Linked DNA regions of Saccharomyces cerevisiae S288C. The protein of the gene in region 2 purifies or fractionates together with the protein of the main gene of each other region. This does not show direct contact. Each region holds a gene or a part of one and is shown on either strand. Other genes may lie near its edges. The genes, in order: FRA1 and TSA2.

Region 1 (4,804 bases), on a different chromosome or scaffold from region 2:
CGGACGGAAATCTCGAATGGCTCTACTGTGAGACGGCTTCATAGCGACATAGACGGAAGGGTTTGCTTCCTTCCTTCCTTCCGCGTCCGCATCCGTTTCCGCATCCGCCTTCCGTATCCGCTTTTCGCTCGGTGCTTCTCTTTCCACGGAAAATCCTGCTCCTGCTCCATGGAACCAAAGCAACGGGGTCTGGCGGAACCTATAATCCGTTGTGACCGGGCCCGCATAAGGAATTCTCGGCTCTTAAAATAATCTATCCTGCGCAGAAAATACTGGCTGGCAAAAAAGAAATACTAAATCAGACTCCTTGTCTTTACGTTGGCTATGTAGTCCAAGCTTGGCAGTACTACTGGTGCCTGGTTATAAGATTGATTTTTGTGACTCTTGCGGAAAGGTTCGCCGAGCAGGGACCCTGGATGAAAAAATTTCTTGATGAGGCATCAGTATAAATCACTAGGGGGCTGTACATGCATGGTCGTTTAAAATCCGACTACGCACATTAACTCTTTTTGGCACTAAAAGCGCTCGGGGTTAAGTGTACCTACCCCTCTCCGGCCGTAAAAAAATGAAGGTAATGTTTTCAATTTTCACCTTTTAGTCATTATTGTTGTTATTGTTATCACTCAAATTAAATAAAAAGAAAGAAACTACTTAGAATAAATACTAACATTAATTGTATTGCGCCCCGCTCGCCTCGAAGTCATAGTGGGCTTGTTTCTCTTTTCAGCCACTTGTATGAAATACTCTGAGGCTGCAGAAAATGCACTATTGTCCTCCATACCCTTGCGTGGTACTCGTTAATCTGTGTTTTTTCTTCTTCGTTTAGTAACTTAGTATTGATCAACTTCCTGCAATAGGGAACCACAGTCATGTTTTCGAATTTCAAGAAGTTACCCTTCTCAGTGGCCTTCTTGATTAACATGTCGCTTTCAATCCTGATACCATACTCACCATCCTTATAATAACCTGGTTCGTTACTTATTATGTTACCCGCTCTTAAGGGGAAATTCATCAGATGTGGCCTAAAGCCGACACCCATGGGTCCTTCGTGAACGTTTAAAAATGATCCGATACCATGGCCTGTGCCATGTTTGTAATCTAACCCGCGGGACCATAAAAACTGCCTAGCGATGGCGTCGATATTAAACCCGGGAGTGTTTTCGGGAAAAATCAACCTCTCTAGGGCTAAGCCACCTTTAAGTACCAGTGTGTAATTATCCATTTCTTCTTTGGTTGGCTTTGTTAAGTGAATTGTTCTTGTTATATCAGTTGTACCCTCCAAGAATTGCGAACCGGAGTCGCAAAGATATATCTTGGTAGGATCAATCATCGAAGAGTTCTCTACGGGCGGCGAATAATGTATGATGGCGGCGTTACTACCTGTGGAGGATATTGTTTCGAAGGAATTGCCCATGAAGTTCCTTTGGGTTTTCCTAATCTCGGTCAATTTTTCTGCGGCACGATATTCATCTATCAGTGCCTCGCGCCCCACTAATTGCTGCTCCAGCCATGCAAAATACTGCACTAAACATACTGCGTCTTTGACCTGCGCCTTGTGTGCGTTTTTTATTTCGATGTCATTCTTGATAGATTTCAAAACATCGATGGGTGAGTGAATTATCGCAAAGTTTTGTGCAGTCATTTTTTTAGCTATTGCACCGTTAGCGTTGGTTGAGGTGTTCAAACAACGAACCATCTGCCACGATGCACTATCAGGAATCAAAAATTCATGCTCCGCAGAAGAAGCCTGCGAAGTTATCTTTGTTAAATGTTCCCATATCTGTTCGTAAGGTCTGACTTCAATACCGTTTATCTTAAAATATTCCGATATGTCATCATTGAAGGGGTTATTGGTGAAAAGAATGGTTTCGTCTTCGTTAATAGCCACGTAGGAGAAAAAAACTGGATTATAGTCAATGTCGGATCCACGCAAGTTCAACAACCAACAAATTTCATCCAACGCAACTACTATGAAAGTATTCCTACCGGTCGTCGCAGAGGAAGCCTTATCATTCAGCTTTTTCAGTAACTTTTCCTTCTTGTCTTTGAATTCTTCACCATGAAACTCGTATTTTAACAGTAGTAAATCGTTACAAGGCCTTTCAGGTAGAGTTTCAAAATCAGGCCAAATACTGTCAACTAAGTTTTCCTCCACGGGAACCAGCTCCACTTTACCCTTTGCGTCATATTTAGTGTCAATCATTTTTCTAAAAGAAACATAGTCGTTGAAAGTGATAAGTTTTGGGTCAATACCTATCTTCAACACCATTCCCTCTTTATTGCCAAGTCCCTTGGCCATTTCCAAAGCTTCTCTGACACACCATTCTTGCCAAGTGATTGGGTCTTCGTTTTGCCTCAAAAGTGTCCAATTATAATCTAGTTCTTGTCTAGCTTGATTGAAATATCTTCCATCAGTACTCAAAATGGATTTCCCATCCGGATGGTCATCGTTGAAATTTAACAAGTCTCTGGTGATACAGGCTACACCGGCCGATCCGGAAAACCCTGAAATGAAGGCGCGCCTTTGATCTCGCAATGATACATATTCGGACTGATGTTCGTCACAACTGGGCACAATATAACAACACAAATCGTGTTTCTTCATCTCCTGACGCAACTTCAACAATCTATCAGTAGTGTTAACTTCCCTGTTAACAGCGCATAGAGAGTCACATGAGTAAACAGACCCATTTCCAGCACTGCTACCTCCGCCAGCGCCCTTCAACTCGTTGAGAAGCATGCTGGAGGACCTCCTTGAATTTTCTAACTGTCTTAAAAATAGAGAGGCTCTACGACCTTGCCTAGACAGTAAGCCTGGAGAACACGTACAATCCGCACATGGCCTAAACGGTCTGGGGCTGTGTGATGCCGATGTTCCTCTCATGTGCGTGCCAGGTACATGGGAAATCGAGTGAGCCCTGCCGTCACTGGTGGATGGTTTCGAAGTCATATGAAGATTTTGTTTGTAATTATTGGTTTCGCTCTGTTGAGGTCTCCGTTTTTTTTTTATTCTTTTTTTTTTTAGCTATGCAGTCTTTTTGCCAGTGCTTCCTGCCTTTCCTGTATTTGTAAATATTGCACCTATTAAGACTAAACTGACTCAGTTTTTGTATGTCGCTTCCTTCTTGTTCCATCCCTCATTCGAAGTATTTCTGAAAAAAGAAAACGTAGAAGAAAATTCGGGAAAATGGGGTGCGATTTTTAGGGGTCACCCGGGGATATACCTTCGGGTAACACCAGAAGTCGTCAAAAACAAAACAAAATTAAACTAAACTCTGGCGGCTAAAAGATAATCATAATGCACATAGGGAAAGCTTTCTACCATATTTGAACACTTTAACGGTTAGTTGAAATAATAAGAAATAATTATATGTTTATTTTTACGTGGGTTATAAAGACGGGTAAATTATCTTCGTTATTACTCATGAAAACCTACAAGTAAGCGGCTCAATGGCATTTCGTGGCAGATAATCTTCAGCTATCATTATTATTTTTGAGAGGATGGTTTTTAGGAGCAGTTTGAGGAATAAACAAGAGCTTAATGTACCGTTATACATTTTTAAAAAGCTGTCTTTTTTATTGGGTTCACAGCTCTCATTTTTTTCCATGCAAAATCATTTTTTTAGCCGCCGATGCTTCAAAATGGGTTTAAGATATTTATTGTTTAAATGTTTCTGCATCTGGATTCACTGAAAAAAATTTAGACGCCTAACATGTATTTTGCATTTAAAGGATTATGCGGGAGAAGATTTCTGCCCATTGCCTCTTTTCTTACTATATTGAATAGAATATTATTCCAATACTGGCTTTTTTACAATTCATTAAAAGAGGAAAAGACATTTCAGAAAATTTTCTTCTCTATGAACCTTAAATGTAGGAAAAAAAAGGAACCAAACCACATCATTTACTCTCAACCGCCTTTCTTGTTGGGGTTCATGGTACAATTGCAAAGTTGTGTCAAGTTGTTGCCACTCTATCTTTTGTTTTTGTTACAGGGTAATGGCGCACATTATGCAAGCGCGATGACGAGCAAGGTACTTTCTTTTTTCCTTTAACATTTTGTTGTCCACCGGAAAATAAAAAAAAACAAATAAATGGGTAAGATCAAAAAAGGAATAGAAGCATATGTTTTAAGGGCAACGCCGAATCGTCAAAGAACGGGAGGAAGATCAATACATTAAGTGGAAAAAAAAAGCTCCCGTAATATGGATGAAAAGACAATTAAAAAGTCGATTCTTTCATCTTCCAATGATGAAAAAATAATATACAAATCGCGAATAAAGAAATTTCAAAAGAATCATAAATTTTATATTATTCTATTGGTTTTCATCGCCATTTTACAATTCATATCAATAGCTTTTTTCACTCGGGGATTCTTACTGTCAAGACACGTTCTTGATAATATTTCCTCACAAAACGAAACGAGTAAGTTACCTCCTAGGTTCAACAAGGCGGTGATTTTGGTTATTGACGCTTTGAGATTTGATTTCGCTATTCCTGTAAACGAATCCCACTCTAATTACAACTTGAACTATCATAATAATATATTATCATTGTATGATTCTTTTGCAAGCGATAAGGATGCATCTTCCCTATTGTTGAAGTTCATTGCCGACCCACCAACCACTACTTTACAAAGACTCAAGGGTCTCACAACAGGGTCCTTACCGACTTTCATTGATGCCGGGTCTAACTTCGATGGAACAGTAATCGAAGAGGATAACTTTCTTAAACAGCTCCATTTGGCAAATAAGACTGTCAAATTTGCCGGAGATGATACATGGATGGCTCTGTTCCATCCGTT
Region 2 (3,314 bases):
AAAAGAAAAATGACAAGACTATGCCAATTGAGATGCCAGACAAATACGAACTCGGCCCTGCATATGTACCGCAGTTATTCACTCCGACGCGTTTCGTCCAATTCTACGCCGACTTGGAAAAAATCAATCAAGAATTACATAATTCATTTGTTGAATCTAAGGATATTTTCAGGTATGAGATAGAATATACCTCAGACGAGAAACCATACTCAATGGATTCGTTAACAGTAGGAAGTTATTTGGATCTTGCAGGCAGATTATACGAAAACAAACCTGCATGGGAAAAATACGTCGAATGGTCATTTGCGTCTTCTGGATATAAAGATGATTAAGTTAATATACACATAGAAATGCATATCATTCTTCAATTACAGTTTCTTTTTCTTTTGTTACACTATTCTTTCAAGTCAATTTCATAATAATACAAAACCATCTTTCTTATCATATATAGGGTGATGTATTTTTAATTATTTAATAGGGCCTAGCGTTATCGTGCGAAGATTAATTATTGGCATTTTTGAAATACTCCTTGGAATCTTTAACGTCAGGTTTGATGGTGGCGGCTCCTGGGGTCCAGTTGCATGGCAAAACTGTACCATTTTTGTCAGTCCACTGGAAACCTTCGACTAATCTCAAAGCTTCATTGACGTTTCTGCCAACAGATAAATCATTGATAGTGATATGTCTAATGATTCCCTTCGGGTCGATTATGAACAAACCTCTTAAAGCTATACCTTCTTTTTCAATCAAAACGCCATAGTCTCTGGATAAGGAATGATTCTTATCAGCAAGCAAAGGAACTTTAACTGGACCTAATCCACCGTCTTTTCTGGGAAGGTTGGTCCATGCCAGTAAGGAATATTCAGAGTCGGTGGAGGCAAATAAAACTTGGGCGCCCTGATCTTCGAATTTCTTGGCGGCATCGGAAAACGCAACAATCTCAGTTGGACAGACAAATGAAAAAGCCAATGGGACAAAAGCTAGAACAACGTACTTACCTTTATACTTTTCCAGTGAAATTTCCTCGAAGATACCGTCGACTACGGCGGTTTTCTTAAATGGTGGGGCTTGTTTTTGAACTTCTGCTACCATGATTGGTTTTTTACGTTCTTGTAAGGCTAATATATTCTTGAGCAAAAAACAGTAATAGTGTTCACTTTGGATATTTCAAGATAAACAATGTAAGTAGCAAAAAACAATCGAAATTACAAAATATATTCTTACAATCGTCTGCTCTAAATACGTTAATCTAAATCTCATCCATAGTTGATCCTTGATTACTCGGGTAACAAACACCTTAGCAGATGTGTAAGAGAAAGGAGAGCCTCGCCCGCTCCTAAACGACGCCAATTGTAAGGGGGGATCAGCCCTTCCAACCCCCAATGACTAAAACTTGTAAACTAGAGGGGCGCATATAGTTAAGATAATCAGATACTGGCCCAATATGATATTGTCTAGATCTTGAGGATGACCAACCAACAGATTCCTGGCCACAGTATCCGTGGTCATTGATTTTGGCACTTGGAAATTCAAGAGATGGTTCTAGTCGTCGTAGCGCTTACTAACAAAAAAAACTAGCATAAGCCCGTTGAGAACTTTTACACTATATTAATTGAATAATTGGACGTTTTGTCGCTTTGCGACAGCACTCTCCTACCAGGTACATACTTAGTAATGTCTATATAGGGCTACATCATTTTTCTGCAAAGATAAAATCCTTCAATTCCTTGTAGGCCTTGTCCAAATCATCATTGACAATAACTTTGTCATGGGCACCTGTCTCAGCATATGCCAATTCAGCTTGAGCGGCGCTTAACCTCTTGTTGATGGATTCTTCGGTCTCCGTACCTCTACCTTCTAATCTTTTTTTCAAATCCTCGACCGATGGTGGAGCAATAAACAAAAACCTGGCATTTAACTCTGGGATAGCCTTGACAGATTTGACACCCTGCATATCAATATCTAAAATACAAGTCTTACCAGATTTACTGACTTGTTTGACGGAAGCGACAGTACTACCATAGTAGTTACCGGAGAATTGCGCCCATTCAATGAATTCATTGTTCTTAATCATAGATTTGAATTCATCTACGGAGACAAAGTTATAGTCCTTACCGTTTACTTCGCCAGCTCTTGGGGTTCTAGTAGTGGATGAAACACTAAACCCGAAAGAATCTGGGTATTCAGCGAACAATTTCTTCAACAGTGTAGATTTACCTGTACCACTTGGGCCAGAAATTACGATAGGACGGGACATAACGCAAAGGTTTACTAATCTTTATCCGAAGTAAACTGTAGTTATCAACTAAAAAGAAACGCCATTGTGTATCCATTTATGCTAAATGTATTTTTTTTTTTCTTTTTTATGTGTTTCCAAGCTTTTTTTCGAAATTTGGAATGTACCGATGAGTACGGTTGCTATTAGCATCGACGCCGCCGGAAAGACGCATCACATATTTCGAGAACCGAAACTTCCTGTCGATATAACCTACACTTCAAATAGCTATCATTTCGAATCGTCGCAGTTTTGACAATCACATTTATACACTTACTGTCGTTTTTTATGTAAAGGCTGTGAAAATTTCACCTTATTAATGCTTATAGAGCAGAGTTTAGGATGAATTTTGCATTGTAGCCTGCCGTGAGCACACACAAGGAGTAGCAGAGCAGTAGTCTTGCCAAAGGATTATGACAGATGATATACCTTGCACAAACGTGATAGCAAGGAACTGCAAAAGTTGATATCGAACAATCATTATTCACGGTGTGACTTTTTCTGTTTCCGTTGCTTTTCTAGCTACTCTAAGATAAAGGGCACCCAAGATTGACAAATAGTTGTAGATTAAACATAGATTGCAAGCAGTGAAATTCAGAGGATAATCTTTTATCGCTGTCAGTACATACCATATGAAAAATGCTATCCAAGGTATTGCTGAATATAGCTTTCAAGGTGCTGTTAACCACCGCCAAGAGAGCAGTTGATCCTGACGATGATGATGAACTTCTACCTTCCCCGGATCTCCCGGGTAGCGATGACCCTATTGCAGGTGATCCTGATGTAGACTTAAACCCTGTTACAGAAGAAATGTTCTCTTCATGGGCATTGTTCATTATGTTGCTCCTATTGATCTCTGCATTGTGGTCTAGTTACTATTTAACTCAGAAACGAATTAGGGCAGTGCATGAAACTGTGCTTTCTATTTTTTATGGTATGGTTATTGGCTTGATAATAAGGATGTCCCCCGGGCATTATATTCAAGATACGGTTACTTTTAATTCATCCTACTTTTTTAATGTTCTATTGCCGCCAATTA

What was found.
Region 1: the proteins of TSA2 (region 2) and FRA1 purify together in Saccharomyces cerevisiae (affinity purification with western blotting; 2 studies listed by BioGRID, with this or other methods). This does not show direct contact.

The regions. Positions count from the first base shown.
Region 1 is NC_001144.5:79,607-84,410, reverse strand, and holds FRA1 (aminopeptidase P), read right to left. Parts: upstream 2,951-4,804; coding exon 701-2,950; downstream 1-700. Other genes in the region: RRT7 (Rrt7p), read left to right, coding at 3,714-4,055; mannose-ethanolamine phosphotransferase GPI13, read left to right, coding at 4,206-4,804. UniProt on the Saccharomyces cerevisiae protein: Involved in the regulation of the iron regulon in responss to decreased mitochondrial iron-sulfur cluster synthesis.
Region 2 is NC_001136.10:1,364,571-1,367,884, forward strand, and holds TSA2 (thioredoxin peroxidase TSA2), read right to left. Parts: upstream 1,093-3,314; coding exon 502-1,092; downstream 1-501. Other genes in the region: PPN1 (endopolyphosphatase), read left to right, coding at 1-332; GUK1 (guanylate kinase), read right to left, coding at 1,694-2,257; bifunctional K:H/Na:H antiporter NHX1, read left to right, coding at 2,915-3,314. UniProt on the Saccharomyces cerevisiae protein: Thiol-specific peroxidase that catalyzes the reduction of hydrogen peroxide and organic hydroperoxides to water and alcohols, respectively.